4 linked regions of the Rattus norvegicus genome follow. The protein of the gene in region 1 interacts with the protein of each later gene in a pairwise test. Links are inferred from orthologs where the notes say so. Each region holds a gene or a part of one and is shown in the gene's direction. Other genes may lie near its edges. The genes, in order: Qrich1, Nfix, Crx and Hspb8.

Region 1 (8,005 bases):
GAGGACCCTGGAGACATGGTTTGCGAGCTGGCAGTGGTGGCTCTCGTATATCTTCTGGAAGAATGGCTTCCCCAGAAGACAGCCAGTCACAAAATCACTACTGCACTTCCTGGTTCTTAAAGGCAGGTGCATGGCTGCAATTAGGTCAGCATTTCCTATATGAACCTGGGAGCCCCAGACATGCTATTGCAGTTATCAGCTCTATGGAAGGATCTAGTTTTGTGTCTCTCTGGCTAGTCGGATCAAGAGACACATGATCCCCTGTATGATCATTCAGAACAAAACCTACTATTTAAGCATAGTTAACTAAAGTATAAATGTTGTGGCCTTTCAAGTTTGGAGGCCCCAGAAGACTCCCTGGATTCCTATTAACAGTGCTGAGATGGGATTCCTGACCATACCAGCCCTTAGGTTGGACTCCGTCTCAGAAACTGACTTGTGAGGAGTTTGAAGATGAGAGTTTGCTAGGACAGGAGCAAGTGCAGAAGGCACAAAGGTCTTCCCACAGGCTGAAGGCTTTCTGGGTTGCTGTGAGCCGCTGGTGAGGCTGTAGCTGAGTGCCTGCAGCTTTAAAGCCTTGCACATTTTCCCTGTATACAAACACTAGGCTACCCAAGGCCCGCTTTAAGGTGGACCTGACTGGTGAACTTATCTCAGATGATAGCTGATGGTGGGTGTTCCTGAAGCTGTCTTTTCCAGTAAGTACATCAACACCCTGAGCGTTTCCCAGAGGCGGTACAATTGTTAAAGTTGGGCCCAGCTTAGGGGTTTGAGAGGGGGCCACCTTAACCACGAGGCTGAGCTAGGCCCGGCCCCGCCTTGCGTGGAACTGTGCAAGTAGAGGAGGCGCTAGCGGGACACCGTAGGTGGGTTCAAGAAGCACGCTTGTAAACCTAGGACAGGGGCAAAATACCCCCGAGATACTGAACCCCAGGCCTAAGCTCCGCCCCGCATGGAGGGGTGTCAATGGGCGTGGTGCTCCTTCCCACAACGAGGGGTACGCTCTCAGCTCCAGCAGTCTCCCTCTAAGTCCGAAGCGTTCCCTTTAAGTCTGAGCGGTAGCTCTCGCGGGATCCGACGCTTCGACTCTCGCGAGAGAGGCATTCGGCTCCCATTGGCCGTGAGGGTTGAATGTAAGATGGCGCCCAGGGAGCTGTGAGGAGAAAATCCTGTCGGTCTTGGAGCAGCGGTGGCAGAACCGAGGCCCCAGGCGGTGAAGCGGGGCCGGAGGGTAGAGTGGAGGCAGCGGCGGCGGTGACGTCGCCGGGTGAGGGCTCTGGTGAGGGCGGGAATGCAGCAAGGCTGTGGGTCTGGGGCAGCAGGCCCACCCCACACAACGGCGGGCGGGGGCGGGCGGGCCGCTGCCGCTGGGCCCAGGCGACCTCGGGGCGGCTTCGGTACGGAGAACGTCCCTCGGCTCGCGTGCCTCCGCCCCGCGGGTGGGGGAGGGGCGAGCCTGAGGTTTGGGTGGGCGCGGCGGCACGAGCGCGCGCAGAGGCGCGCGCGCAAGAGCGTGTTTTTTTTTTTTGCGCGGTAACGCGCGCGCTGTGCGGTCCTCCCGTTGCGCGTAGCCGCCCGACGTGCGCGTTCCCGTTGGCTCTCAGCTGTGGCCCGTGGGCTAGAACGGCTTCCGGGGCGCGCGCTTCCCCGCGACCCCCAGTTTTGTGGCGCGCGCCCTGCTGTTGGTTTGGTTGCTCGCGCTGTCCGGAGTACGCGCAGGACGCCCCTTCCGAGAGGAGGGTCGGCGGCCTGGCTGACGACCGGCTTGCTGAGTGGGGAAGGTTGAGGGTTGGGCCCTTGCCCTCGTGACGTCCCGGGCAGCGGTGGCCTAGGTCTGCGGAGAAACATAGCGGCTTTGCGGTCTGGCTTGCGGCTCCGCTCCTCCGTGAGGCGGACAGGATTGCTTGTACTAACCGAAGAATGCTGTTACTTAAGCGAGGCCCATGTACTGGGTGGGTGCTTGGGGAGGGTGCTACTCTGCTTGGGAAACCGAGTCCTATTGGCCCGAGAGGGCATTGGGTCCCCAATGGGTTTCCTCACCTTGTACTGGTGCATTGTGCCGAGGAGAGAAGGTTAACATTGCAAGGCCCCGCTTTTCTTCCATTAGAAACCAATTCCTCCATAAGCGCAGTTGATACACGTCACCTCTGTGCGCTCCGGAAAGAGATCCTCCTATGTGTATGGTATCAAACCCTCCAAGCTCTAAAATTCCGCTTTAAATCCTGACTTAAATGCAGCCTTTTTTTTTTTTTTGTCACCCCCGCGTGGGTGGGAGGGGCTTGCTTTTTCTGTTCTGGATAAGGGCTGGTTCTTAACCTTGATTAACTTGATCAGTGCTTTGCCTTTTTTTTCTTTGTAAATTCTGAAATATCCAACAGAAAATTCTAAAATATGCCTGTGTCACTATAAAATCTATGTAACTGAAGTCCTTCTCAGCATTTTTTTAAAAAACATTTTGATCCAGTGCTGTGATCTGCTGTCTAGGAAATTCTAGGTTTGTGATGGAGAATACGCAGCTCTTTTTTTCTAAGACAAAACATCTGCTAGTTTATTTTACAGTTTTCTTACATTAAAGTTGAGAGAAAGCAAGCTAAAAGGATTGTTGCTTTTAGTAGCAGTCAAATTGGGTAGTAATGACTTTTTAAAAATATACTGTATTTTTTTAAGAACAAAGTTAAAACTTAAAAAGAGGCTGAGGATGGAAGGAACTTCTTTGTTCTATCTTCTTCAGAATGTTAGAAGTCTTAAGAACTCAGGACAAGCAGCAGACATACATGCAACATGGTGACTGGTGAGTTAAAAATCATTCATCGCTGGAAGTATGTGTGCAGTCCGTTACCCCAACCCTTTGGTAATACTGACATTTTACAAATTTTGTCATTCATTCTTGGTGTTGTCTGCCAGATACTGCTACTTACTAGAAAACCGCTGATGAGGGAAACTGTATTTGTTCATCAGGCAACGGTCCTTAAAATCAAGTCAATGGAACATTCAGGATTAACATTGCAAAGCATCAACTAAGAACCTAAATGGCTTTCCAGAACAACAGAAACAATACAACAACAAAATCTGTCTGTTTGTTGACAATGTGTTTATAAACTTTTTATACCATTTAAGCTTTCTTATTCTGGATTGCCTTTTTTTTAAAAAAACAGAAACAGTGTTTCCATCAACTAGTATTATTTACATGGTAGATAACTTCTAGTTCTCTGGGTTTTATACTTCTCCAAGAACTTACAAAGTTCACTTCTGTTTACAAAAGCTTGTGTTAATGTTTCAAACAAAACCTCAAGGAACAGTTGAATTTTGTTGTGAATGTTGTTGTGAATTTGAGTTACTTGAAAAATCAAAAATGGGTTGGGGATTTAGCTCAGCGGTAGAGCGCTTGCCTAGCGAGCGCAAGGCCCTGGGTTCGGTCCCCAGCTCTGAAAAAAAGAAAAAAGAAAAAAAAAAAAACCCAACACAAATCAAAACCCAGTTAGGGACTTTGGGTGTGGCTGTTCTCTTTCATAGCAGCTTCAAAATCAAGGATGTCTACCTATAAACTTGCATGCTTTTAATCAGTAGTGGTTTGTACTTGGTGTGCCTTGCTTCTTACCTCTGTGCTTTTTAAATGGCCACGCTTTTTCTGTGAATATTTCTGAATTGGCCTCAGAATGAGGTGTGTTACGTGAACACCTGTTCTTTACTTTGCTCTCTTGGATTTAGTTCCAGGTTTAAGACCTCTCTTAGCTTCACTATTTTCCCTATAATACTGTACTGTAATTTCTGTTTTTAGCAGGTTTTCTGTCTGTCTGTTGTTTAGTGCAGAGGATTGAACGCAGAGTCTTGCACATGCTAAGCATGCGCTTTACACTAAACAACTGCTCTGGTTCTGGGTTGTGATTTGTCTTTTTAAACTGACTTGGTTGCATGAAGAAAAAGATGTAAATTTTTGCAATCTTCAAAGGGGGAAAGAAATGGTTCTTTACCCTCACTAAGGTTTAATAACTAAAGGTGGATGAGATGTGTTAGAAAGCTGGTTCTTTTTTTCTTTGAGACTACGTTTTAGAAATTCTGACCTGTTGCAGTAGAACATGGTCATGGAACTTCTGGTCATGCCTCTTGCCTTTACAGTCCCTGGTGTTGGGATTATAGGTGTGCTGCCCACAGATCCATTCTGTGTGGGTTGCAGATCAAACCCCGAGGTTTGTGTATGCTATACAAGCACACTGTAACACCCGCCTTAAAGTTGTCAAAATACTTACACACTGTTTACAGTTCGGATTAGTGTAACTGCCTCTAAGAAATAGAATGTCATCAACCCCTTCCCTCTCATTAGTGTTTCAGTTCTTGGAGACAAACTTATTCTGATTCGAATAACAATCTCAATAATCTCAATCTCATATTCTCTCTCTCTCTCTCTCTCTCATGTCTATGGGTGTTTTATGTGCATATATGTCTGTACACCATTTCATGCAATGTCTTTAAAACTAGAAGAGATTAGGGTGTTAGATCCCTTGGGACTGGAGTTAGAGCCTGTTGTGTGCTGTTATTTGGGTATCAAACTCAGGGTCTCTTGAAGAGCAGCCAGTGTGCGAACTACTGCTGAACAATCTCTTCAGCTGGATAGACTTGTCTTTGTATTTAACCACCTTTGTATCTCTAAGGCATAGCTTTTGTTTTGAATTCCATGTAAATACACATTATGATTATTGTTTTCGAGACAGGATCTTAATATGTTACGTCTGGCTTTTCTGGAACTCACCTTGTAGACCAGGCTAGCCTTGAACTCATAGGCTATCTCCCTGCCTATGCCTCCCGAGCTTAGTTTATTATTGTGTTTCCCTGTTTTGTGCAGCTGTAGTAGTTGATGTTCATTTCTGTATTGTCTTGTGGATATTTCATTAAGTTTTCTATCTTACATTGGTAAACTTCTAAATTGCTTCGTTTATACATATCAGTGCTACTGTGAATATTTGCATATATTTGGATGTCATATACGTTATTTTCAACTTCACAAGCCAGTGTAAGTGGTTGTATTAATTTATAACCCATTAGTATTTAATTTTTTTTTTTTTTTTGGTTCTTTTTTTCGGAGCTGGGGACCGAACCCAGGGCCTTGCGCTTCCTAGGTAAGCGCTCTACCACTGAGCTAAATCCCCAGCCCCAGTATTTAATTTTTAAAAATTTACTTGGGGTTTGGGATTTAGCTCAGTGGTAGAGCACTTGCCTAGGAAGCGCAAGGCCCTGGGTTTGGTCCCCAGCTCCGAAAAAAAGAACCAAAAAAAAAAAAATTTACTTATTTTATGTATGTTAGTACACTGCTGTCCTCAGACACACCAGAAGAGGGCATCAGATCTCATTACAGATGGTTGGGAGCCACCATATGGTTGCTGGGAATTGAACTCAGGACCTCTCGAAAAGCAGTCGGTGCTCTTAACTGCTGAGCCGTGTCTCCAGGCATTGATTTTAAATTCTTGGTTGAAAGTGCGTGTTATTTAAAAATAGAAACATGATGGAGTGGCCCAGGAGAGAGTTTCTTTGACAGACTTTATAATGGGTTAGCATTTGTAAGAATAGAACTAAGTTTTCCACTCTGCGTCTTTGGCAGTGACACCTTACTTTTTAAGAGGTTTGAGGCTCAAAAGAGGCAAGACTGAGGTGACTCAGACTATAGTCTCTTAGAAGTTTAAAACCGGGGTTGGGGATTTAGCTCAGTGGTAAGGCCCTGGGTTCAGTCCCCAGCTCCGAAAAAAAGAAAAAAGGAAAAAAAAAAAGTAGTTTAAAGCCTCAAAAAAAACTTGGCTAGCCCAAAAGTAGTGAGTTAATTGGTTGCAGTTAGTCACAGACTGAACTTGTCATACCCTCTCTTAGTGCTGTACTTGACTAGTCAAACAAACAACAGAAGGCAGAAATGAATGACTCTAGGTGAGTACTGGAGTCATCTCTTAATACCTAAAGAGAAGAAGAAAGGAATTAGTGAAAGTGCCCTTGGAGATACTTTTTGAATAATCTTTTCCATGAATCTCATTGTGTTCTGGTCACAACATAATAGCTTGTATATTTAACTTGGTCAGGCATTGTGCTAGTACTAGCACTAGTGAACCTATCAGTCTGGTAACTAGCACATGACAGTATTGTGGGTCTGCTGACTGGAGCGTTTGTCTTCTACAGTGTCCTGCAAAGCAACTAGACTTGAGGTCTTTAGAAGCAAATGCTTGTTTAAGGACTACCTACTATGAACTAACTCTACTGTTTTCTTGTTTTCTATTGTTAATTTCATCTGACTTCCAGGTACTGGGGCTACTCAGCCTATTCTCATAGCTTCTGGATTTTAGAAGTCTTAACTTCTTTACTGCTTCTCACCGGGTCTTTAGCTTAGACTCTAAGGCACTAATTAGGAGTCTTTTGTCTCTGAGTGTTTGTCTATTGTGGAGGCTCAGCCTTTGTGTCTTGTGTGCAGCATCTTAAAGAATTTAACACCATTATTATGTAAATTTTTGGGACTGGATGATTTTGTTAAGAGTTGAAGATTTTTAGGGCAAAGCATATTACAAAAGAATTGTTTGCCCTACTGTTGTAATATAACCATAAAATAGAAAAGGATGACTTATTAAGTATCTTTCTGTCAATATAATTTATGGAAAATACAGTACAGTATTATACAAAAATTTATCAGCTAATACTGTTCTGATTTTTTTCCTTTTTTTCCCTCTTAACTAATGATACTAGGACATGTAAAATTGTATGAGGGTCCCCGTGTGCCCCCCCCCCCAAGCTGGGGACTGAACCCAGGGCCTTGCGCTTCCTAGGCAAGCGCTCTACCACTGAGCTAAATCCCCAACCCCCATTTTTTTTAACACATCCGATGTATGTTTCTGTGTCAGGAAATATTTTCAAAATTGTATGTAGCATTGAGGCAAGAAACATCTCTCCCTCATTCCATTGTGACATGGCTTTTTTCTTAGTTTAATTGAAATTTTTTTGGAGTCAGACTGATGTGTTCCAGGCTTGCTTAAAACTTGCTCTATAGGGGTTGGGGATTTAGCTCAGTGGTAGAGCGCTTGCCTAGCAAGTGCAAGGCCCTGGGTTCGGTCCTCAGCTCTGAAAAAAAGAAAAAAGAAAAAAAAAAAACTTGCTCTATATTATAGGTTAACATGTTTTCCAAAAACAATTATGGTTATATAGATGGCAGTGGGATTTTATTGAAAAGTTAGTAGGGATTTTGTTTGTTTGTTTGTTTTTTTGTGGTTTTTTAAGACAGGCTCTCTCTGTGTAGACTTAGCTATCCTGGAACTTACTGTATAGATCAGGCTGACTTTGAACTCAGAGAGATAAAGTTTCTACCTCTTGAGCACTGAGATTAAAGGTGGGCACCACTAAGCCTGGCTCACAGTATTGCTTTAAAATACACTTGGAAGCTAAGCCTATGTGTAGGGACTTGGATTTGATTTCCAGTCCGCCAGAACTCCACAGTCGGTGATAGCTTGTCTCAAAGGAAGTGTGTGTGTGAGAGTGTGTGTGTGTGTGTGTTTCTGTCTGCCTGTCTCAAATGAACTCTTGGGAGAGTTTGCCATATATGTGATATGTGTGTGTGTGTGTGTGTGTGTGTGTGTATGTATGTATATGTGTATATGTGTATGTATATATGTATATATGTGTGTATATATGTATGTGTATATATATATATTTTTTTCAAAACAGCATTTGTTTGTCAGGTTGAAGCTAGCTTGATGAACTTGTGTTTGTGGGATGTTGTAGTGGGATGGGTAGTTTTGAAGTTTGCAGTGGCCTGGAAACAGAGTCTCTATAGGCTACCAGCATATCCAGTGTGTTGTTTTCTTCTCTTTGTGGAAATAACTGTGTTTCTATAATATAAAGGTCTGTTGTGTTGTTATTTTTCTTTTTAAATCATGGGCCAGGTGTGATGCTATACGCCTTTAGTCCCAACACGTGGAAGACAGAGACAGGTGGATCTCCAGCCTGCTTTACATAGTGAGCTCCATGCCAGCTAAGGCTACAG
Region 2 (7,971 bases), on another chromosome or scaffold:
CCTTCCATCTTCCGTCTCTTCTCCCAGCCATCCAGATCCTGGGTCTTCTCAGTCCTGGCCCCTCCTGGATCCATCTGTCTCCTGGTCTCCTAGGTTCCCCTTCCTGGGGCCATCCTGCTCCCCTGGCCTCTTTAGTCCCCAAATCGCTCCCAGCCCCCAGTTCTCACTGTACCCCTAACTCCATATAGCACACACTTCCAGCCCCCTTCTTGTCTTGGAGCCCCTCCCCCTCCTCTGTGGCAGCCCTGAAACTTTAACCGGGTGTTAAAAGTTTCTGTTTACGAGAAGCCCTTGAATTTTTAAGGACATATCAATTCCCTCCCTCTGCCAGCTCCTTCATCCTTGCCTCACAGGCAGATACTGTGGGTGCAGGGAGAGGCCTGGATCACCCACCACATGGGATCCCAGGGACCATGGTCCCAAGCAGAATGACAGGCATACCATATCCCCCCTGGATGGCTTCAGGCACAGAGACCCTGCTCTCTGATACACAAGCACACATATCTATTTAGTAACACAGATGAATTCAGGCTGAGGTCTTCAGGCAAGCATGTCCACCACTGACAGGCAGTCCTTAGTGCAGACAGACAGACAGACAGACACAACACACACACCACACACACACCACACACACACACACACACACACACACACACACACACACACACACACACGGAGTTTTGTGTTTTGAGATAGGGTCTCAAGTAGCCCACACTGGCCTCCAGCTTGCTGTGTATACAAGAATGACCCTGAACTTCTGATCCTCCTGCCTTTTTGTCTTCAGAGTGTTGAGATGGTAAGGTTGTGCCACCATGACTGGAGATTGAAGCCAGGGCTTCATGGATGGTAGAAAGGCACTCTACCAACGGAACCACACCCCCAACTCCTACACTGTTTTCACATACATAGACACAGAAGCACAGCATGTCACATGCACACCAGCTATGCACACATACACACTGACATGGTCTGACACATGGAAACATACCTGATACATTCTGACCGTACACAGCTATGGACTGTGTAGACAGGATGACCTTGAGTTTGAACATATAAAATATGTTACATGGGCTAACATACAGGCACATACCTGGCATCCAAGAAAGGCATCCAATGCCTGGTGCACAAACACATATGCTCACATCCAGTTGGGCATGTTAGCATTGTCTGATACACACAGCTATTTATCCACTGAGATGCTCTTTTTTTTTTTTCTTTTTTTCCGGAGCTGGGGACTGAACCCAGGGCCTTGCGCTTGCTAGGCAAGTGCTCTACCACTGAGCTAAATCCCCAATCCCCCACTGAGATGCTCTTATGTACACTTACTGGCATGGGCTGACACACAGAGACCCATATCCTGGACACAGACATCCATCCTTGGCCTGCTCTGGTACACACAGATCTTCTCTATTGGATGGGTCCCACAGGAAAACAAATGCATGTGAAGCCTTCTCACAGGCAGTCCTTCTGTGACCTCTGGACACTTACCTGCTGGGACACACACACCACACACACACACACACACACACACACACACGGAAAACATGCTACAGATCTCCAGTGTGGCTGCACTGATATGTTGGGTCAGTGCGGACACACCCCGGTGTCCTGTGGCCTCACCTCCTGTCAGTCACACTCATATCTCCATCAATGATCAGTGTTCCCTGTCCCACCACGTCCCCTGTGTTTCGCCTAGAGAGGTGGAAGACACCTTTGCTGACTCACAGACACATCCATGGGTACAGCCACACCCACGCCACTACTCAGAATATACTGAGTATAAAAAAAAAATTGGCCCTGCTCAGACCCACACCAGACACCCCAGGCACATCGCCTGCCGCCCTATCTCAGAGGTTTTAGGACAAGGGGCATAGCATTCAGGGACATTTATGCACGCACATCCTTGTGCCTTGTCAGCCCCTACACACTCACCCACGCACACCTGGGCACCTATACCACCCCCCATTAGACAATGCATTACTGAGAATTGCCACAGCTCCTTGGCTCAGGAGGCTGACAAGGTGCTGGCTGCACCTGGCAATGGGAAGGAGCTGTGCCTTGCTAGGAGCTGCCTGGGAACTGAGGCACAGCCTTCCCACCCAACCTAGGGTCACCCAAGAGTTCTCTGTGCCCTCCTTCAGAGTGCCCAGCACCGTCTTCCCCACTTCTTCCTTCCCTCCCTCCCTCTCTGTGAAGGCTTTCCCTTTCTCCCTCTGTTCCTTGCTTGTTTTTTTTGAAACAGGGTTTCAGTATACAGGCCAAGCCAGCCTCAAACTCTGTAGCTCAGGCTGGTTTACAGCTCAGTCTTAACCTTCCTCTTGGAGCTTCTGAGTGGAGGGATTGCAGACATTTGCCAAACCACCCCGCCCCACCCCACCTTATTCCCAGCTCCAGTGGAAGTGGGGGGTCCTGGGCCTGCAACAGAGGCTGGAGCTTCACCACAATACAGATAATGTTCCTAAGTCCCAGGATATGTGCAAAGGTACGAGAGACATATGAAGGCTAAGGGTGGTGTGTGTGTGTGTGTGTGTGTGTGTGTGTGTGTGTGTGTGTGAGAGAGAGAGAGAGAGAGAGAGACAGACAGACAGACAGACAGACAGACAGACTGACTGACTTGGGAGAGTCTACACAGAACCTGCCAACTGTTTTGCTATCAGGATTGTAGATCAGCGTACCCTAGGCCTGGGGTATATTTGTGCAACACAATGTGTGATACGTGCAGTGTGTGCCCCTGTACAGTGATACTTTGTGTCCTTTGTATGGGGGCTCCCATGTGTCAGTGTCACCCTGTGTCTGGGTTGCCACAGCTGTCTTCCAAGATATTTTGGCTTGGCTGTGTGTTGGTGTGTCCTTGTGTGTCCGGGGTGACAAGGTATGGCTATGTGATCCTGTGTGTGTCAGTATTCTGCAGGGACGTGTGTGGCACGCGCATGTATGTTAGTGCGGCTCTCAGCGTCGGTCTGCATTGGGACATGTGACAGTAGGTGGTGTGTGGCTCTTGCTCGTGTCTGTGCCCGGTGTGCACCGCCGTCTGCTGTGACTTCATGAGGACTAGTCCCTGCGTTCCTTCGTGACATTTGTGCCCGTCCAAGCCCTGCTGCGTGTCAGCGTGTGTCGGCGCCCGAACGCCGGCCAGCACGTGTCGGGGCGGCCGCGTCGGTGTGCGTCCCCGCGTGTATGTGTGTGTGCGTGTGTGCGTGTGTGCATGTGTGTGCGCGCCGGCCGCGCTCACCCGCCCCGCCCGCCCCTCCCCGCGCCCCTCCTCCCGCCCGCGCCGCCCGCCCGCTCCCTCTCCCCGGAGTGCGCCGCTTCCAAACTTTGTCTAAACTTTCACTTTCACAGCGCGGCGGCGGCGGCGGCGGCGGCGGTGGCGGGCGAGGGCGAGCGGCCGAGCGGCGGCGGCATGGAGTAGACGCGCGGCGGCGGCGGCGGCGGCGGCGGCGGACGCGAGAGGCAGCGGCGAGCGCGGCGGCGGCCCGGAGCCCGCGGGGCCGAGCCTGTGAGCGCGGAGCGGCGGCGGGCCGAGCGGGGCCGCGGGCCGGGCGGGCGCCGCGCGGCGGAGGCCGGAGCAGCGGAGCCGGAGCCCGAGTGCCAGCCAGCGCGACGCCGCCTGCCGGGCCTGCCCTCGCCGCGGCCGGCCTCTGCGCTCGCGCCCGGGCGCCCAGCGATGTACTCCCCGTACTGCCTCACCCAGGTACCGGCCGCCGCCCCCGCGCCCCGGGAGGGCCGGGCTGGGGTCCCGCAGGCGCGCGGGCAGCGGGCGGGGCGCGGGGGCGCTGCCCCGGGGCGCGCGGCGGGAGTGCGTGGAGAGGGGGCGAGGGGCGAGCGCGCGCGGCGGGGCGCGGCGGACAGCGGACCCCTGCTGCTGCGCGGCGACGCGGCGTGGTGGCAAGCGCGGGCGGGCAGGGTGACACGGCGGCAGGAGGCAGAGTGGCCCCGGGGCGCCGGGGAGCACGGGCGGGCGGCGTTCCCTGCGCGCGGCGCGGCGCTGCCGCCCCGGGGTGGCAGTGGCGGGCGTGTGGGCAGCTGCTCTGCGTGCGGCTGGGGTGCCCCGGGCGGCCCGGGCGTCTCCCCAAAGTCTTTGTTCAGGCCTCGCATGGGAGCGGGGCTGAGAAAATGGCGGGGCTCCCAAATTTCGGAGGGGCAGGGGAGGGGAGGGAGGGACGGGCGTGCTGCCAGCCCGGGCCGCGCCTCTCTGCGGATCCTGGACGTTTGCAGACGCGGCTCCCCGGCCCCAAACTTTCATCCGTGCAAACTTTCCGGTCTCAAAGACCAGGACCGCCGCGGCGTGGACCTGGAAGTGTCCGGAGGAATCCCGGTCCGCCACCCGCAGGCGGGAAGGGGGGAGCAGCGGTGGCCACCGCAGGTCGAACCTGTTGGGATCAGCCGTCGGGTCAGCCTCGGGCACAGCAGCGCCGACCTTGGCGTGCTTCGGGAGCGCGAGCGCGAGAACGCGTCCCGCCTCCAGCGAAGTTCCCTGCGCAGTGTATAGCGGAGGCTGAGGCCTGGAGCATGCCTGATTTGCCACCCCTCTCTTTCTAGCTGCGACTCCAGGCTCTGAGAGGGCACCAGCCAGACCAGCCCAGATCTAGAGGGGCCCTCACAGCTCTATCTGCAGAACCAGACCAGGGCAGGTGACAGATTTCAGCAGGCAGAGGGGATTTGTAGAGGTTGTCTAAGTCTTGCATGCTGGCCAGGCCTGTCTGTGGGAACTCTCTAGGCCAACCCTGAGTCCCTAATGGCCCCCTTTGCTAAAGCCAGGGCCCTTTCAGACGAGTGCTGAAAGTGCCACCACCTTAGAGTGGGAACACACACCCATGGTGTATATAAATGACCAAGTATACGAGGAGCATGCCAGGATGTTTTGAAGGGCAAGAAGGTATATGCAGGTGGATTGCAGTTCCAACGACTCAGCGCTCTTGTAGTCCCAGGTACTAGTTGTCTGTGTGTCTGTGTGTCTAGAATCTGTATGTGACTCCTGTAGGCTGGCAGTGGCCAGACTTCGTGGCACAAACACAGATGACCGGGCGAGATGATGTGTCTTCCAGTATAAATCACACGCAAGTGTGTGTCACTGGAGGAGCCCATGCTCGCCTGCCCTGCCAATCTGACCACCATAGCAGTATGGGTCTGTTCCTTCAAGTTGTCAGCTACCCTATGTTGGGTTCCCCGCAGGAGGACCTGGTCAGCTATCTAGGTCTGAGCTGTGGCTACCTTCAGGGTGATTGGTGATCTGCTCATCTCTATGGCTGTGTAGTGGGACAAAGACCCCATGTTCCAGCAGCTACCTCATCTACCAAGCTGCTAGCCTACCTCCACTCCAACGTCGCCAGACATCTGGGCTTGCCCCCTCCTCACCCATGGGTCAGGTGAAGCACCCACCGTTGGAGAGAAAATACCAGCTGATACACTGGTGCCAAGGCTACGGAGGGACTGGGATGGCCCCCAGATTTGGGGTGATGGCCTCGGCTTGGCTCTGTGGCACTCCAGAAGGGAATACGGGCTCCAATCTGTGCGTGTTACATCTTGCACATGCCAGGCTGCCTGGGAGGGGAGTGGGCACAATCTCACCAGTCTGCCAGCCCTGCATGGTGGGCAGGGAAACCCCTTTGCTTAGGGTCCTTGGCAGCCTTCGGTCATCAGGGTCTGGCTGTCCCTGCCTCTCCGCCATGTCTCTTTTTCGCAAACCTTTCTACTGCCATAGTTTGCCTCCCATCTTTGCTTTTCCAACAACCTCTTTCGCTGGCTGGCCTTTTTTCTTTCTTTCTTTCTTTCTTTCTTTCTTTCTTTCTTTCTTTCTTTCTTTCTTTTCCTCTATCTCCGCTCTTTGTCTGTTCCTTGTCATCTCTGTCCTTCTGTATTTCTAGCTGTCCCTGTCTCTGGTTGGCTCTGGCCTCCCCCCTTTCACTCTTGGACTCTCTCTATACCCCCTTACCCCCTCTCTCTTTTCTTTCTTTTTTTTCAAACCAGAATTGGCTTCAATTTTAAAGTCAATAAATGATTGAACAGAAGCAAGCTTGGAGCAGCAGGGCTTGGTGGGGCGGGCAAGAGGAAGGGTAGTGGGGAGGATCTCCTAGAAAAGAGAAACTGATCCAGCGGTGGGTGGGGTCATTGCTGGAGCTGCTGAAGCTCTTCACAGCCACACGCCTGGGTCTCAGGTAGACATCAGGAATCGGATGGACTTGGTGGGCCCCTCAACAACGGGGACACACACACACACACACACACACACACACACACACACGTATTATCGCTGCCAGGGGAGATCATAAACATTGTATTCACCTTGACATCTAGTCACATAACTCTTGTCATACACTTCAACACACGTGTGCCCCTGGGGATGAGATACATGTATTCATTCATGTAAGTTCAGACATGAAAACCTCCCTGTGAAATAGCCACCAAGGCAAAACCGTGTGCCTGTGTTCCTAAACACCAGCACTTGCACGTATCAATCTCAAGGCAAGCCGTGCGTGGATATGCCACAGAGTCACGGTACCCGTGGCACAAACTGGGCCCACAGCAGGTGTGGATGTACTCACAAGGCTGAGGACGGAGGGCAGTGGGCATACGTCTTTACATGGAGACATGACATCATTGGCTTTCAAGTTGTGAACGAGACTTTCTCTAATTCTTAGATACACACCCATGCCTTCCCACTCCTGGCCGAGAGAACATATATGCTACTATGTAGACAGTTGCAAACACACACAATGACACACATGGGCGTACACGGGATCACCCCTGGACGGGCACCTCTGCCAAGCTTCCCCATGGTAGTCGTAGAACCTATGATCTTGCACAGCCGTGTACCCTCTTGAAGGTGAGCTGGGCCTGCCCTTCCTCTCTTCCGCGTCTGGCTTTTTCTGGCTCACTGTGACCATTCTTCTGTCCCTGTAAACTGTAGATTGCTCTTTGTTCGTGAACCAACTGGTACTCACAGCTCATTTTTACATTGGTTGATAATGGATGTCTTGCTGTGTAGCCCAGGCTGGCCTTAAGTTTACAGTGGTCATCCTGGGCTACAGGGGTGAACCATGCTCTATCTTGCTAGTTTTGCTTTTGTGTTTGTTCGATTGGGACACGAAGCCCAGGCTAGCTCTGCATTGAAGATAGCCTTAAACTCTTGACCCCCTTGTCTCCACTCTTAAGAGCTTGGATCACAGGTGTGAGCCACCGTGCCTGGAGCTGCCAGCTTTTCTCTCCGTGGTCACACACCTCCTATCCCTAACATAAAAATGAGACAACACAGGTTGGGTCACTTTGGGTACCAACCACACTGGGGTCCTGCGAAATGCTCCAGTGGTGGGCCTGGCTGAATTCAGAGCCATGGCTCGGTTGAGTTAATAATACATCCCCAAAAGGAGCTTGGGTTCTTGGCCTAGACATGAGTGTCTTATGCAGTTTCTGGGGCTGCCAGATGGAGGGTGTGGGGGCAGAGGTCAAGGACTAGTCAGCAGGGGGCTTAAGTTTCCTCTCTGCATCTCCTGGTCTTGGGACTTTAAGGACAGGGTTTTCCTGGTCTGTGAAGTTCATGTATATCTTTTAGTCTGTAATGCAACTCACTGTCATGCTGGGCGTGTGATGTGTGCTTGAGAAGTGTCCCTGTCATCATCCGGACCCTGCCTGCATAGAGAAGGTTGATCATGAAAGTGAGAAAAGAGTGGAGTCCTTTGCCACTGTGGCAATCTCCATGTTCTTCCTGGAAGAGGAAGCATGGACTTGGAAGGAAGGGCAGGGCTCAGCGCTTTTCCTCTTATTGGGGTCCTGTGGGCTAAGCTGAGGGTGTCAGACATCACAGTAGGGCAAGGTGAAATGAGGAGAGGGTCTTCCCTGTCTAATGGGAACCAGCTGTCTGTTGGTAAAGAGAGCACACGTGGATCTGGATGAAGACCGGACAAAGCCTGGAGACTTAGTTCATTGCGTTAGTGACTTAGAGATGTCCTCCCTGCTCCAAGCCACTTACAA
Region 3 (7,224 bases), on another chromosome or scaffold:
TAGGATCCTCTGGAACTGAAGTTATATGTAGAACCACCCAACTTGGGAGCTGGGAACTGAACCTGGGTCCTCTGAAAGAGCAAGGAATGCTCTTAACTGTTTAGCCATCTTCTCCGCCCCTCTACTCCTCCTCCTCTTGTTTGTTTTTTTGAGACAAGGTTTCTCTCTGTAGTCCTGGCTCTCCTGGAACTCAATCTGTAAACCTGTCTGTCCTCAAATTCAGAGATCCACCTGCCTCTGCCCCCAAGTTCGAGGATTGAAGGCATGTGATGATACATCCGGCTCCAGCCCCCTCCCCCTTTTAAAAAAGATTAATTTATGTGCATATGCTTGAATATATGCATGTGCACCATGTACATGCAATGTCCACAGAGGAAGAGGGAATTTGATGTGAGTTACCATATGTGGGCTGGGAATAGAATCCAAGTCCTCTGCAAGAGCATCCACTGCTCTTAACTGCAGGGCTGTCTTTCCAGGCCCTATACATTATATGTTTAAAATTCTTTGTTTAAAAATCATAAACAGTGGCATAATGTGCATGTTGATAGCACTGGCTTTTATTCTTTGAATATCCATAGTATATAGTAAATATGTTCATAAACTTTATATATTAAATGGCACTAAATAAAAATATAACAAACATTATTAATTTATTTATTTATTTATTTATTTATTTTTTGGTTCTTTTTTTTTTTTTTTTCCGGAGCTGGGGACCGAACCCAGGGCCTTGCGCTTCCTAGGCAAGCACTCTACCACTGAGCTAAATCCCCAACCACAAACATTTTTTAGAAGATTCATTTATGGGCTGGGGATTTAGCTCAGTGGTAGAGCGCTTACCTAGGAAGCACAAGGCCCTGGGTTCGGTCCCCAGCTCCGAAAAAAAAAAAAAAGAACAACAAAAAAAAGAGATTCATTTATTTACTATATATAAGTACACCGTAGCTGTCTTCAGACACACCAGAAGAGGGCATCAGATCCCATTACAGAGGGGTTTCTGGGGTACCATGTGGTTGCTGGGATTTGAACTCAGGACCTCAGGAAGAGCACTCAGTGCTCTTAACCACTGAGCCATCTCTCCAGTCCTATAACAAACATTTAAGTGATCTATTATTATCTGTAATCTGGACATACAGTATATGTAACACATGCACTTAGTATCAAAGTGTGACTTTGACAATAATCTCAGCATTTGGTAGGTGGAGGCAGGAGTATTGCTATGAATTCAAGGCCAGTCTGAGCTATGTAGTAAGTTCCTGTCTCATTAATGGTACATCTAGGAGATAGCTTATTCAGTAACCTTCTTACTTTACAAGTATGAGGATCTGAGTTTGTTCCCCAGAGGCCAGGATAAAAAAAAATGGGCATGGTGTTGTGTTTGTAATCCCAATACTGGTGAAACAGAAACAGCTGGATCCCTGTGGCTTGCTGGCCAGACATCCTAGCTTACAGTGCGATTTCCAGACTAGTGAGAAACCTGATCTTAAAAACCAAGGGAGATACTGGGGATGAAGCTCAGGAGGTAGATTGCTTGCCTAGCATTTGTGAAGACTTGGGTTCGGTACCCAGCACTGCATAAACCAGGTATGGTGTGCTGACTTGTGATCTCAGCATTTGGGAGCTGGAGACAAGAAGATAAAGAGTTCAAGGTTATTCTCAGCTATCTGGAAAATCTGAGGCCAACCTGAGTTATATAAGACCTCTCAAAAATAAAATGAAGGGGTTGGGGATTTAGCTCAGTGGTAGAGCACTTGCCTAGCAAGCGCAAGGCCCTGGGTTCGGTCCCCAGCTCCGAAAAAAAGAAAAAAAAATGAAAAAACTGAGGTGGGTAGCCTGATGAATAAACTTGGGGTTGAATTTTAACTGCCCCTCCACTCTTACACACACACACACGTACACCCCATACATACAAACACAATCTCCCCCACATACACAAGCACACACACACCCTTATACACAAACATTCCTCCATACTCCCCTACAAACACTCCCCACAAACACACACACAAACAAACACATACACACCTACCCCTCGGGAGTGATGGCTAATACTAGTGGTCTCAAAATTTGTGAGGTGGAGGTAGGAGGGTCAGAAATACGAAATCAGCTTTGGCTATAGCCTTGGCTAGTTTAATGTCAGCTAGGGCTACATGAAACTCTATTGCACAAAATAAAAAAAGTACCTTTCTTTCTTTCTTTCTTTCTTTCTTTCTTTCTTTCTTTCTTTCTTTCTTTTGGATCTTGTGGCTTGGTCTATAATTGAGTGCCTTGCCAACAGCCAGGGCTGTAAAGGAATTTTAATCTAGCAACATGGCTGCTCTGGTAAGGGATCATACCCAAAGAAATAGGTCTATGTGATCTGGCTGGAACAGACACACCCTTAGTACACTCTTTTAATCCTTTTGGCTGGAATATAGATAAGCCCACAGGATACACCTTTAATTCCAAACAATGATGTCTAAATTGAAGGACTGACAAAATGATGAATCAAAGAAAGATTTGACAGAATGAGTCAGAGATAGTATATATATATATATATACCATAGTATATATACCTCCCATAAGAACAGACAGGAAAGAGGCTACTTAAGAACATTGCAGGGAGAGGAGTTGGATTGAGTTCAGTTGCATTTGGTGCAGTTCAGTTGAATGCAGTTCTGTCCAGTTTGTCAGTCAGTGAAGTCAGTGTAGTTCAGTTTATGGAGTTTAGAAGTTGTTTTCCCAAGCAGAACAATTCAGTCAGAAGCAGAAAGAAGCCAGTCTGAATCAACCAGCTTGTGGAGGTGTTTGAGCCAGACAGTCGAATTGAACCAGCTAGCCAGAATTCAGAAAGAGGTAGAAAGGGTGAACTTACTCAGTATGTCTTAGAGTTGAAATATTCTAGGCCTAGATTGAACAGATGGAGGCCTTCAAAGTTTGGGCTTGTAGAAGATTGGATTGTATGAGGGTTTGAAGCTTCCAGGGCTAGGCCTAGGGATAGTTAGATAAAAACACTCCCGGCTCAGCCCAAGTTGTGTATTCACACACCTTGGGTACAGCTCTCATCTCATCACTTCATCTGAGGAAATAAAAATGACAATTACACAGAGCTAGGAACTGAGGCCCTGAAACTCATGTAGTCCAGGATACCAGGATGGCCTCAAAGTCACAGAATTCTGCCTCCTCAGCTGGGAGAAAATGAATATACCACAACACTTTGCCTCTAAAAATGAGAGAGAGAGAGAGAGAGAGAGAGAGAGAGAGAGAGAGAGAGATTGATTTTGATGGGCAAGGTTGGTTGGATCCCAAAGAAGACCTGAAGTAGGATGAACACCCTGTTCTCTTGTAGGCACCCAATCTGGGCCCTAGTCTCTGAAGATCATGATGACGTATATGAACCCGGGACCTCACTATTCGGTCAATGCCTTGGCCCTGAGTGGCCCCAGTGTGGACCTGATGCACCAGGCTGTCCCATACTCAAGTAAGTGTGTTCTCCTTCTAACCTTCAGTCTGTCTTTTAAGAACCTCTGAGGTTCATTGCCCTCAGGAGAAAAAGCATTCCTGGGGTGGAGGGGGCAGTGGGAACTTGTACCAGCTCTATGTCCATTTGCAAAGGAGTTTGGTATTCCAGGCACTTTTACATGTTCCCCGGGAATTCAGAGGAGTAAATAGTCATGACATTGACTCCCTTTGGAGGGAGAAGAGGGAAAGGGAACTGGTCTGGAAGAAGAATCAGGAGGATTCCATCTCTTTGTAAAGCTTTTTCTTTTTCTCTTTTTGGAGTAGTGGTTGTTGGGCTGTAATCCAGGGCCTTGTGGCTTCTAGGTAGGCACATTAGCATGGAACTATGCCCCACCATAGCTGTAGTAGTCTAGGCAGGGGCTCTAACACTGAGCCACGCCCCCAGCTCCTCACTGGGGGATTCTAGGCAGGGGCTCTAACACTGAGCCACGCCCCCAGCCCCTCACTGGGGGATTCTAGGCAGGGGCTCTACCACTGAGCCACACCCCCAGCCCCTCTCTGGGGGATTCTAGGCAGGGGCTCTACCACTGAGCCACGCCCCCAGCCCCTCACTGGGGGATCCTAGGCAGGGGCTCTACCACTGAGCCACGCCCCCAGCCCCTCACTGGGGGATCCTAGGCAGGGGCTCTACCACTGAGCCACGCCCCCAGCTCCTCACTGGAGGATTCTAGGCAGGGGCTCTAACACTGAGCCACGCCCCCAGCCCCTCACTGGGGGATTCTAGGCAGGGGCTCTACCACTGAGCCACACCCCCAGCCCCTCTCTGGGGGATTCTAGGCAGGGGCTCTACCACTGAGCCACGCCCCCCAGCCCCTCACTGGGGGATTCTAGGCAGGGGCTCTAACACTGAGCCATGCCCCCAGCTCCTCACTGGGGGATTCTAGACAGGGGCTCTACCACTGAGCCACACCCTCAGCCCCTCACTGGGGGATTCTAGGCAGGGGCTCTACCAGTGAGCCACGCCCCCAGCCCCTCACTCTATATAACTGAGCATGTCCCAGCCTCCTGATTCAAGACTCTAGAGTGTTGAGATTTAAGTCCTTCACCATCATGCTCTACTATGATACATTATTATTTAACAGATCTCTCTCTCTCATTTGCCTTTCTCTTCTTTCTCTTCCTTTTTATTTCTTCCCTCTCTCACTCCCTTTCTTCCTTCATCCTTTCTTCTTTTCTTCCTTCTTTCCTCCCTCTCTTCCTCCCTCCCTTCCTTTCAACAGACTCTCACTATGTAGCCTTAGCCTGGAACTCACCATGTGGACCAGGTTTCTTTATAGATTGACAGAGTTCTGCCTGTTTCTGCCTCCTGAGTGCTGGAATTAAAGGCAGGAGCCACCTATCTAGCCTTTCTCTTTCTTTGAAGAACAAATAAAACACTATTTTTGCATGAAGGGTAGGGAGCAGGAGGGATGTTTGCCATGGCTCCCTTGTTGAGGTCTGAGCAACTTTTGGGAGTAGTTTTTTCCCTTCTATGTTGGGTCCCAGGGATTGAACTCAGGTCCTCAGGCTTGGTCACAAGTGTCTATACATGCTGCACCATCTTGCTGGCCCCCTTTTTCTTTTACATTAAGTTGAACCACTTTTATAAGCAGGAGTCATGGTTATTGATAACACCATGTCTCAACCAAATATATCTTAAGAGTATAAAAAGTTTCAAGAGACGGGCTGGAGAGATGGCTCAGCAGTTAAGAGCACTGACTGCTCGTCTAGAGATCCTCAGTTCAATTCCCTGTAACCACATGGTGGTTTACAACCATCTGTAATGGGATCTGATGTCCTTTTCTGGTGTGTTTGAAGACAACAACAGTGTACTCATGTACATAAAAAAATATTTAAAAAAGTCTCAAGAGGGGAGTCTGGTGCAGTGACTGTGCCCGCAGATATTTGGGAGGCTGAGGTAGGAGGATCTCTTGAGTCCATGATTTCAGGGCCAGTGTGGGCTATGTAGTGAAAGTCTGTTGTAATGAGAGAGAAGGGGAGGGAGAAAAGGGAGGGGAAGAGTAAAGGGAGGATAGAAGAGAGAGAAGGAGGAAGAGAGGAGGAAGGGCAGAGAGAGGAGGAGAAGGAAGAGAAGAAAGGGAAGGAGGGGTTAGGAATGAAACAGACAAAATGAGGGGCAAATCCAGTGAATGAATGATTGGAATACTTCTCTTAATTCCTCTGGGGACTGAGCCACCACTAGAAGGCCAGGGAATCAATCAAAGCCCCTTCTTTAGGCTGATGGATGTGCAGAAAGGACTTTGGGACAGGCATTCCTCTGTACCTCCTAGCCTCTAGCAAGCAGACCTAGCCCACCTGAGGTTCTTTTTTTTTTTTTTTTTTTTTTTTTTGGTCTTTTTTTCGGAGCTGGGGACCGAACCCACCACCTGAGGTTCTTTAATTTGCCCCCACTTAGGTGCCCCTAGGAAGCAGAGGCGGGAGCGGACCACGTTCACCAGGAGCCAGCTGGAGGAGCTGGAGGCCCTGTTTGCCAAGACCCAGTACCCGGATGTGTATGCACGTGAGGAGGTTGCTCTCAAGATCAACCTGCCTGAGTCCAGGGTCCAGGTAGGATGATCTGCTCCGTGGACCCCTTGAACCCTTACTGTAACCTTCTGTGGGCCCTTGTCAAATCCAGAGTGCATGAAGGAAAGAGGCCAAGGGTAGCATATTTATGAAATGGCCTAAATGCCCTTCACATTCCTTATATCACTCTTCTTATATGATGCCTTCTCACCACACTGTCCTCCAAGGGTTCTCCTTCCCTTTGTACTCTGTTTTCTTTCAGGGCCTCACATATGCACGTGACCTACCACTGAGATATATCATCATCTCTCTTGTTTTTTAATCTTAAAACTATTTATCTTGATATTTATGTATTTACATGTTTGTTTGTTTGTTTATTTATTTATTTTAGTTCAAGACAGGGTTCTTTTGTGTATGTAGCCTTGACTGTCCTGGAACTCACTCCATAGACGAGGCTCACAGAGATCTGTCTGCCTCTGCCTCCCGAGTTCTATGATTTAAAGGGGTATGCCACTGCTACTTGGCTAAAACTAATTTTGAGGCAACGGTCTTACTACGTAGACCAGTACCAGCAATCCACCTGCCTCTGGCTCCCAAATGCTGAGTGTGTGTGCATATTTTATTTTTAATTATGTTCATGTATGTGTCTGTGCACATGAGTGCAGTTATCATTTTAAAAAATTATTCTGGGGAGGGGCAAAAATTATTCTTTGATTTAGAAGAAGGGAAAGAAATATGGAAATGATGTATTATACTTTAGAAAAACTAAATAAGCAATAAAACTTTATTCTTTGGGTAATTTCATACATGGATACAATGAATTAAGGTCAGTTCTACTCTCTCTTTCCAATACCTCCAGGAGCCTCCTCCTCTTCCATTTCTCTTTTAGCTTCATTCATGTCCTTTTTGTTTTTCTTCTCTTCCTCCTCCTCTTCTTCCTCTTTTAAAACCCACTGGGTCAAGTTTGTGCTGCTTATATGTGCATGGGAGTGGCACCATCCACTTGAGCATTGGCACTGGGAGACAGAGTCTCACTAAGTCACACAGGCTGGCTTTGAACTTACTTTGCAGCTCAGGCAAACCCTGATCTTCATATCTTCTTGCTTCAACCTCCTGAAGAGCAAGGATCACAACAGGTCTGTGCTATTAAGCCTAGCTTCAGAGGACTTGTTTCATCATCACGGTTATTGAGCAACAACCAGTCAATTAATCAAGTCATCT
Region 4 (8,003 bases), on another chromosome or scaffold:
GAGTTCAAGGTCACCGTCTGCTTTATCACGAGCTCAGGGTTTGCCTGTGCTATGTAAGAGACAGAAAGGGAGAGGGGGTGCTGGGTGAGGGAGATGCACAAGCCACCATAGATGTTCAGTCCCCACTGCTGTCGCGCCCCGCCCCCCTTCCTGGTTCCAGGCAGAATGGCCTTCGAGAAACTTTCAATGAAAATGTGCAAAGAAACCTGGGAGGGAAGAAGAAAGCCCTTTAGGACGCATCCTCAAAACAGGCTCACCCATAAATCAATACAGCTCAGCAGCACACGAACACACACCACAATGCCCACCCAAAGCCGCACGCGCCCAGCCAGCGCACCACCCCCATCCTATCCCGCCCGCTGAAGAGCCCCGCCCCGCCCCGCCCTCCCACTCCGCCACCCCCACCCCCGCCTGGTCCCAGGCAAGGCCAGATTTCTCCCTGTTCATCCATCATACAGGGTGGCTCGCCTCATAATTAGCTGCAGGCTCACTCGGCCCCTCCCAGCTGCAGTCTATGCCCAGCCATGACGTCAGCTTAAGTCTTCTGGCACAGTGAGCTCATCCTGTATCGCGTAGGGGCCACCCAGGTACTGAGGGGGGCACATCAAGGCAGGACAGGGGGACCCTCTTCCCACTGGAACAAAAGCCAGGGGTCTCATCCCACCCACTCAGTACAGATCTAAGATTCAAACTGATCGGCATTTCCACCAGAGTTCCTGACACAGGCCATCTGTATGCACGGGCCACCTATTTCCTCATCTGAAAAATGGGTTAACAGTAACAAAGACCGTTGTGAGCATTTCCCGACATGCCTGCATCGTCTCACCCTCGAGGGTGATCCTTCTCAGTATCGTCATTTTGAGTAAAGTATGTCCTGTGAGGACAGTTTTCTATCAAAACAGCTTCTCAACCTGGAACTCAAATTCCCCAACATGCCCAGTCCAAAAAGAAAGCAGAACTGGGACCCCAAGACTTTCAAAGGGAAAATGACAAGCTTCCTACCTGTTGAGGATTGGAACCCCAAACCCAAGGCGCCTGTAGGCTAAAAGATTCCTAAATTCATTTTTTCCAAGCAGAATGGAAGAGTAGGCGTTTCTAGAAATGGTTCTTCCCAGATCTGAGCTTCCAGAACATCCCACCTGGAGAACAGAGCATCTAGACATTTGCTATTATTCAGAGGAGAGAGAGAAACCCAGCCTGGTGCTAGCTGACAGGGGAGGCTGAAGCAGGGAACTCACAAGTTCAAGGCCAGCCTAAGCTGAGAGTGAAGTCAAGGTCAGCCTAGGGAGACTAATAAGAGGCTACTTGAAAATAAATAAGGAAATAAAAGGGTCTCTTTACCTGCTTGCATAACCCCACTTACACACACACACACACACACACACCATACATCACACACACACACGCACCATACATCACATATACACACCCATACATACATCGTACATCATACACACACATCATATATCACACACACAGGCACACACACATCATACCTCACACACACACATCATACATCACACACACATAAACATATGCACACACATCATACATCACATACACACACAGACATACACACACACAAACATGCATACGCACACACACACATCATACATCACACACACACATCATACATCACATATACACACACATACACACATCGTACATCATACACACATATTATATATCACACACACACAGGCACACACACATCATACCTCACACACATATCATACATCACATACACACACAGATACACACACAAACACGCATACACACACATATACACACACATATCATACATCACACACCATACATCACATATACACACACATACATCATACATCATACACACACATCATATATCACACACACACAGGCACACACACACATCATACCTCACACACACACACATCATACATCACACACACACATAAACATCCGTACACACATCATACATCACACACACACATAAACATACGCACACACAGCATACATCACATACACACACAGACACACACACAAACACACACACACACACATTACAGATTAGGATTCCCCCTATGAGGCGTAGCATAGTAGGATGACATAGTAACATCTAGAAAGAACATCAAGACAGGGCCATCTTAGGTAATGAGGAAGGATAGATGTAGGCGAAGGACACATAAGTCATGGAAGAGGTTAAAAAACATTTTTCTCCCCGAGTTTCCACCCCATGATCGACTTTTTTTTTCTTCTGTATGGTGGAGCTGTGGATAAAGCTGCGATTGATAGTTAAAGTGTAAAACACATAAGAAAGCTTCGGCGTGGCTGTTCTGAGTACGGAGTTCACAAAGTGGGGCTCCAGGGCGTGGCTGCTCTGTGTACAGGGGTTCGCCGAGATGGAAAGCATTCGGGACTGAGCAGGTGTTCGAGTGGCTATTAGCTAGCCTCAACCTGTTGTGTGATGTTTTTATTTGTGAACCCACCTCGATAAGTGATTTTACAAAGGGAGGAGGGTTGACGGTGCAGCTCGCTCTGTGGTGAAATGCTTTCCAGCATGTATAAGGCAGTCAATAAAAAAAAAAAAAAAGGTTTCTGATGACTTATGATTGTTTACTCTCCTGCCGAATGGGACAGTGGTAAGCTCGCAGCTCTCAGTGCGCAGAGGGGGAGGATTCCACCAGCTAATGTTTACGAAGCACTTGAGAGCAAACATTATGCAACCAATAAGTTGAAAGTCGAAAGCCTAAAAGCATAGACTCCTCTGCAAAGTCTATGACCTCATGCATTCCTGATGACGAGTCCCAGAGCAGGCTCCTCTCCTGCCCCACTCCCTCAGGTGGAAACCAGGCGGCTCAGGCATGCCTTGGAGTAATATTGCCGCTGATCGAAATTCTTCCCTTGACCAAACTTCAGGCAGACTCCTCCTCGGAGGCCCAGGGGTGTGTTCTCTTCACCCGGTTTTAGCAAGAACATGTCAGTTCAGCTGCAACCCCCATAACTCCATGTGTGATCACCCCCTCCCATGCCTGATCAGTTGCTCATCCTCCATTGACTTTCAAAGCAAGGTCTGGCCACCCGAGTCTATCCATAGAGGAATTCAGTTAGATCCGTTTATCTGGAATTCCCTCTGGTCCCTGAATTCCCCTCAGTCATTTCCCATCCGTTGACCCCCATTCTGCCTCCAGGCTGTGAATCCCCAGTGGCTCAGGCTGTGCTGGAAGTTGAGCTCCATCTGTTTTCTCACCCCAAGACCTACCTACCCCAATAGACTCTGCCTGACAACGTCCTGCTTTTCATAACGTAAACTGTCATTTAAAAAACAAACATCATTCTCAGAAGTCTGAGGCTGTAAGACTTGGGCCATACTGTAAGAGGGGATTCCGTGTGCTTCTCGATCCAATGAGGGGTCATCTCTCCTCTTCTGTGAGTCCCCAGAGTGGGAGGCAAGACAGAACACGTCTGAGGATGGTATTTCCAGAGTGTGACCTGAGCCCTCAGCCAGGCGGAGGGTTATTAATAGTCTGGTTTTAGTGCCCTGCGGGGCACTGGTGCCTAGAGTGGACGCTGCTGGAGGCAGAGGGAGGGCGGGGCGGAGCCGAGCAGGAGGAGGAGATCGTGCCTGAGAGGCTGGCTGGACTCGGACGCTACGGCCCCTCCCAGCTCCCCACCCGCTCCCGGAGCCCAGTTGTTCTCTCAGCGGATTCTCAGGGACTGGTTCATCACCTTTGAATACTCCTGTGACAGGAGGCGCTTGCAAAACCCGCCCCCAGCCCCCAGCAGCAAATAAATAGAAGGCTCCCAGCCCAGAAGCCAGGAGAAGTTTCTAGGCGCGTGAGTCCCCGAGCTTTTATTAAACTCCTGGCTGCGCTCAAGACCTCAGCAGGCTTTGGCTGGGAGCCGGGGCAGCCTGGGAGGAGGGCAGTCGGTGGCTTGCTGATAGCCTGGTGAGGTGGGACTGAGAGAGGCCCTCTGGGATTCTGCTGGGCCCGATTAGGTGGTCACCTTTGTGAGCCAGGACCCCAGTGCAATTCTGGGCAGCGGATGTTTGGGCTTGTGGCTAAAGGAAGATCAGCATTTTCTGAAGTGGAGAATTAAACTCTGAAAGCCATCTCAAGCCACATCACCTTGCTGTGTGACCTTTGGGTAGGTGGCTCCGTCTCTCTGAGCCTCTGTTTCCCCCTCTAAGCTCAACAAACACCATGGCTGACGGGCAATTGCCTTTCCCGTGCTCCTACCCAAGCCGCTTGCGCCGAGACCCCTTTCGGGACTCACCGCTCTCTTCCCGCCTGCTGGACGATGGCTTTGGCATGGACCCCTTCCCAGACGACTTGACAGCCCCTTGGCCCGAGTGGGCTTTGCCTCGGCTCTCCTCTGCCTGGCCTGGAACCCTAAGGTCTGGCATGGTACCCCGAGGGCCTACAGCCACAGCCAGGTTTGGGGTACCTGCTGAGGGTAGGAACCCCCCACCCTTCCCTGGGGAGCCCTGGAAAGTGTGTGTCAATGTGCACAGCTTCAAGCCGGAAGAACTGATGGTAAAGACCAAGGATGGATACGTGGAAGTGTCAGGTGAGTGACGGGCCGGCAGGGTTGTGCCTCTGTGTGTGTGTGTGTGTGTGTGTGTGTGTGTGTGTGTGTGTGTGTTGCGTGCTCCCATGCCTGTGCTCTTATGCGCGTGCTCCCAGGTTCATCCCAGAAAGAGCTTCAGGAGAAGGGACTTGTGACAGACAACATGGCTCAGGTGACCTCAGGTCCCAAGAATGCAACCCACAATGTTATCTTCAGAGACAAGTGTTTCTCAATGGGTGACGGAATGAGCGTGGATGTGATGGAGTAGCTGGGGTCCTCAGGACACCGTGCCCCACCCGAGAGCCGGCAGAAGCCAGGCTAGATGTTTCGAGGTGGACAATTTAATATAAAGACCAGATGAGTGCACGCAGGACTTCTGAAGGCACGGGGAGAGGGGTTAGCACATTCCAAAGCCAGGGGCACAGGAGCCAGGGTCAATGCAGTCACCAGATGAGGAAATGAAAGCTGGGGTGGTAATGTCAGCAGTAGGGACCTTATCCTAGGTGGAGAGCTGTCTGCCAGGCACCACGCCGAACCGTGTCCTCAGTGCCAGACAGCACCTGTGTTAGTACAACCAGAGGACATGGCTGGTGCGTCCACATCTCCCTTTTGTACTTTAGGAAACTGAGGCACAGAGAGGTTTGCATAGTTTGCTCAAAGCAACAAAGGGTGCCAACCCAGACTGCCTTGGGAATTGGGGTGGAAGGGAATATATATACATATATATATGCATATATATATGAATATATATATGAATGAATGAATGGCAGTCATCCCGACTGTCTACTCCCCTCTTGCAGCTGAGGAGGCCCAGTCCCAGGCCATACAATGAGTCAGCAAAAAGACCAGAGTAGAGCTTAGGCCTGGTCACCATGCTAGGCCCAGGGCTTTCCTTACCCCATTGCACTCTGGGAGAAAGAATACATACACAGGGGGCAAAAAGAGGAGACAGGAAGCTTGGCCCCTGGTAAGCTGGGCCTCAGCAAAGCTTTCTCCTGCCTCCCTCCCAATTAACAGGCCATTAAAAGGAGCTTGTTCTTGGCAGAGGCCTGTCAGCCAGGCAATCAATAACCGCCACTCTGTAAGCATTATCTGGGCAGGGACAAGTCCGAGCAGTGTGCGAGGCGGTGTCTTAAAGTCTCTCCGAGTACAACTGTAAACATCAAACGCCGTGGGTGTGGGAGTGGTGGGGCAGGCGGCACTCAGGGGCGCGTGCTGACGTGGGTGTGGGCTCTCTGCACTGGCTGGCGAGCCAACCCTCGCTAGCCAACGGGACGGCTCCTTTTCTCTTCGGCTGTCTCGTTCCTTTTCTGGGCAACGAGCTCCCTCCCCGTGGGTCCTCGGGAAGGATGGCGGTAGCCCCAACATATCTTTTATCTATATGGTAAATGCGCAGATGGTGCTCAGGGTTCGGATGGTGAGTTTGTTCTTGTTAACAGCAGCCACAGCGGTGGCTGTGGTACGGGCACCTGGGAAGGTCCTAGTAATAACACGTGACAAACATTCTTCGAGACCTGGGTTCAAATTCCAGCCCTCCTGTGGGGTAGCAGCACGGTTGCAGACTAGGAAGTCTCTTCATCCCTCTGAGCCTCAGTGTTCCCATCTGCGCAGTGGGAATCGGGACCATTCCTGTCAGGCAAGGCTAATGGGAAGGTGTAGTGAATGCAGACGATCTATCTAGAGTGTCAGTGAAATGGAGTTAATAGCGCGTCCTGCTGACCGAGCCCGTCACCACCCCGCCCTGGTTATTTTAATTATGGTTGTTTAATCCAGAGGCTCCCAGATCACCTACACCCTGCAGTCTCTTCTCCATCCCCATTAGAAGGTACTCCTTAACAGGTGGAGTCTGGCAGCCACAGGCTGAGATCTCAGCCACGGACCTTAGTGATCCTGAGGTTCCGGGTGTGCCCCAGACCCCCGATGTCTCTGTCTGTGAGACGGGAACACTGGAAACTAACACACAAAATAAACCATGTCCATGATGCGCAGCTAGACTGTGGCCCCAGCTCTAAAGACTCCGAGCCCACAGAGAGTGAACGATGACAAAGCTTTCTTTCTCTCATGAAAGGGGTTTGAGAACTAAGATCCGGGGCTCCCTGCAAAAGCAAAGGGAAGTCGGGGAACAGAGTCAAGGACAGCTACAGTGCAAACAAGAACCTGTCCTTCTGCAAGCAGGTTCAGGCTGGACCTTTGCTCAACCTCCAACTAGGCTGGCTTACTGGTTACTCTTGATGGGTTTTTTTTAAAGGAGTGTGGGTAGGCTTGTAACACCACCCCTGCCCATTTTACAGATTGTGAAACTGAGTCCTAGGAAGGCTAACTCACCCAACAAAACCAACCACCTGCTTCTTCTCTCGTAGTACCTAATACTTAAAGCCAGGCCTGCCCGGAGGTTCATAGGCTTACTCTAGCTCTAACTGGGAATCTACTTTTAGAACACCCCACTCCCAACCTCTGGCCTCTGTTTCAACGCTGGTCTCAGAAAGAGGTTAGGGCAGATTTGTCATCTGCTTCCGGATGTCTGGGAAGTGGAGGAAAGGCTATTTGGAGTTTTGAATGATTCCAGATGAGCCAAAATCATGAGTAAGCCTCCTCCTGGTGCAGGGCTTGGAGCCTTCCGTAGTCCGTGCAGTTTACAGACCTGAGGCGGGGTCATGATTTCCATCGCACCTGGCAGTCTCCTGCAGACAGCAGCCAAGAATGATCCCTTCAAGGGTTACTGGGCCAGGCTTTGGCTAGGGGAAGCCTGGAAAGGCTTTTGTCTTGTCCCCAGGCCCTCTGCTCTGCCTGGGAATAGCACCTTTCTTTGATGGGTCTGAGCACTTCCCCCAACACCAGCGTTTCTCTCTCAAAGCCACAGCTTTCTAGAGCTCCTAAGAAACATCACAGCCATGCTGTCCTGGGATGGCAGAGGCGATCTTTCTGTACAGACAGCCATCTTCCCTTCCTTCTGATAAATAATATATATTATGCATAAACAATTTAATATCATTCACAAATTTATTTTTATGTTAATAATTATATAGAAACGATTATGTAAAATATTTGTGTTAATATACAAAATAAGTGTATTAATAAGCAATAATATAAATTATATAGTAAAACATAATGAGTTATGCTTGCTGGTGTAAACATTAGACACACAATAAGCCAGGCGCGCATGCAAATGATATGAAAACGATATGCAAATGACATGTAAATGAAGCACAAGAATGACCCACCTTCTTTAACACATTTCCAAATTACACATTTCCTTCCAGCGATCTTGGAGTCTTTCCTGCTCAGAGACCCTCGTTCCTTCTCCTCAGCCTGAACCTCATTTTCAGAGCCTGGGCAGGATTCATAGACTTCTGAGGATCCCCATTTCCAATCTAAACATTGATGTGAACGCCAAGGTTCACCTGTGCATCTTGCCAGGGCCGTGTGACTCACTCCATTGTGTCTCCCAGAGC

Evidence for each region.
Region 2: the proteins of Qrich1 (region 1) and Nfix interact in binary tests that used the Homo sapiens proteins (3 or more experiments, as listed by UniProt). The two-hybrid records come from large-scale screens. The link is inferred for Rattus norvegicus from reciprocal best matches to the Homo sapiens genes QRICH1 and NFIX.
Region 3: the proteins of Qrich1 (region 1) and Crx interact in binary tests that used the Homo sapiens proteins (3 or more experiments, as listed by UniProt). The two-hybrid records come from large-scale screens. The link is inferred for Rattus norvegicus from reciprocal best matches to the Homo sapiens genes QRICH1 and CRX.
Region 4: the proteins of Qrich1 (region 1) and Hspb8 interact in binary tests that used the Homo sapiens proteins (3 or more experiments, as listed by UniProt). The two-hybrid records come from large-scale screens. The link is inferred for Rattus norvegicus from reciprocal best matches to the Homo sapiens genes QRICH1 and HSPB8.

The regions. Positions count from the first base shown.
Region 1 is NC_086026.1:118,094,309-118,102,313, forward strand, and holds the start of Qrich1 (transcriptional regulator QRICH1), read left to right. Parts: upstream 1-1,602; 5' UTR 1,603-1,952; intron 1,953-2,667; exon of another isoform or gene 2,668-2,731; 5' UTR 2,732-2,791; intron 2,792-8,005. UniProt on the Homo sapiens protein: Transcriptional regulator that acts as a mediator of the integrated stress response (ISR) through transcriptional control of protein homeostasis under conditions of ER stress.
Region 2 is NC_086037.1:40,256,711-40,264,681, forward strand, and holds the start of Nfix (nuclear factor 1 X-type), read left to right. Parts: upstream 1-3,667; coding exon 3,668-3,694; intron 3,695-7,971.
Region 3 is NC_086019.1:85,670,111-85,677,334, reverse strand, and holds part of Crx (cone-rod homeobox protein), read left to right. Parts: intron 1-3,325; 5' UTR 3,326-3,357; coding exon 3,358-3,457; intron 3,458-5,893; coding exon 5,894-6,045; intron 6,046-7,224. UniProt on the Homo sapiens protein: Transcription factor that binds and transactivates the sequence 5'-TAATC[CA]-3' which is found upstream of several photoreceptor-specific genes, including the opsin genes.
Region 4 is NC_086030.1:45,833,484-45,841,486, forward strand, and holds the start of Hspb8 (heat shock protein beta-8), read left to right. Parts: upstream 1-3,824; 5' UTR 3,825-4,184; coding exon 4,185-4,551; intron 4,552-8,003. UniProt on the Homo sapiens protein: Involved in the chaperone-assisted selective autophagy (CASA), a crucial process for protein quality control, particularly in mechanical strained cells and tissues such as muscle. Displays temperature-dependent chaperone activity.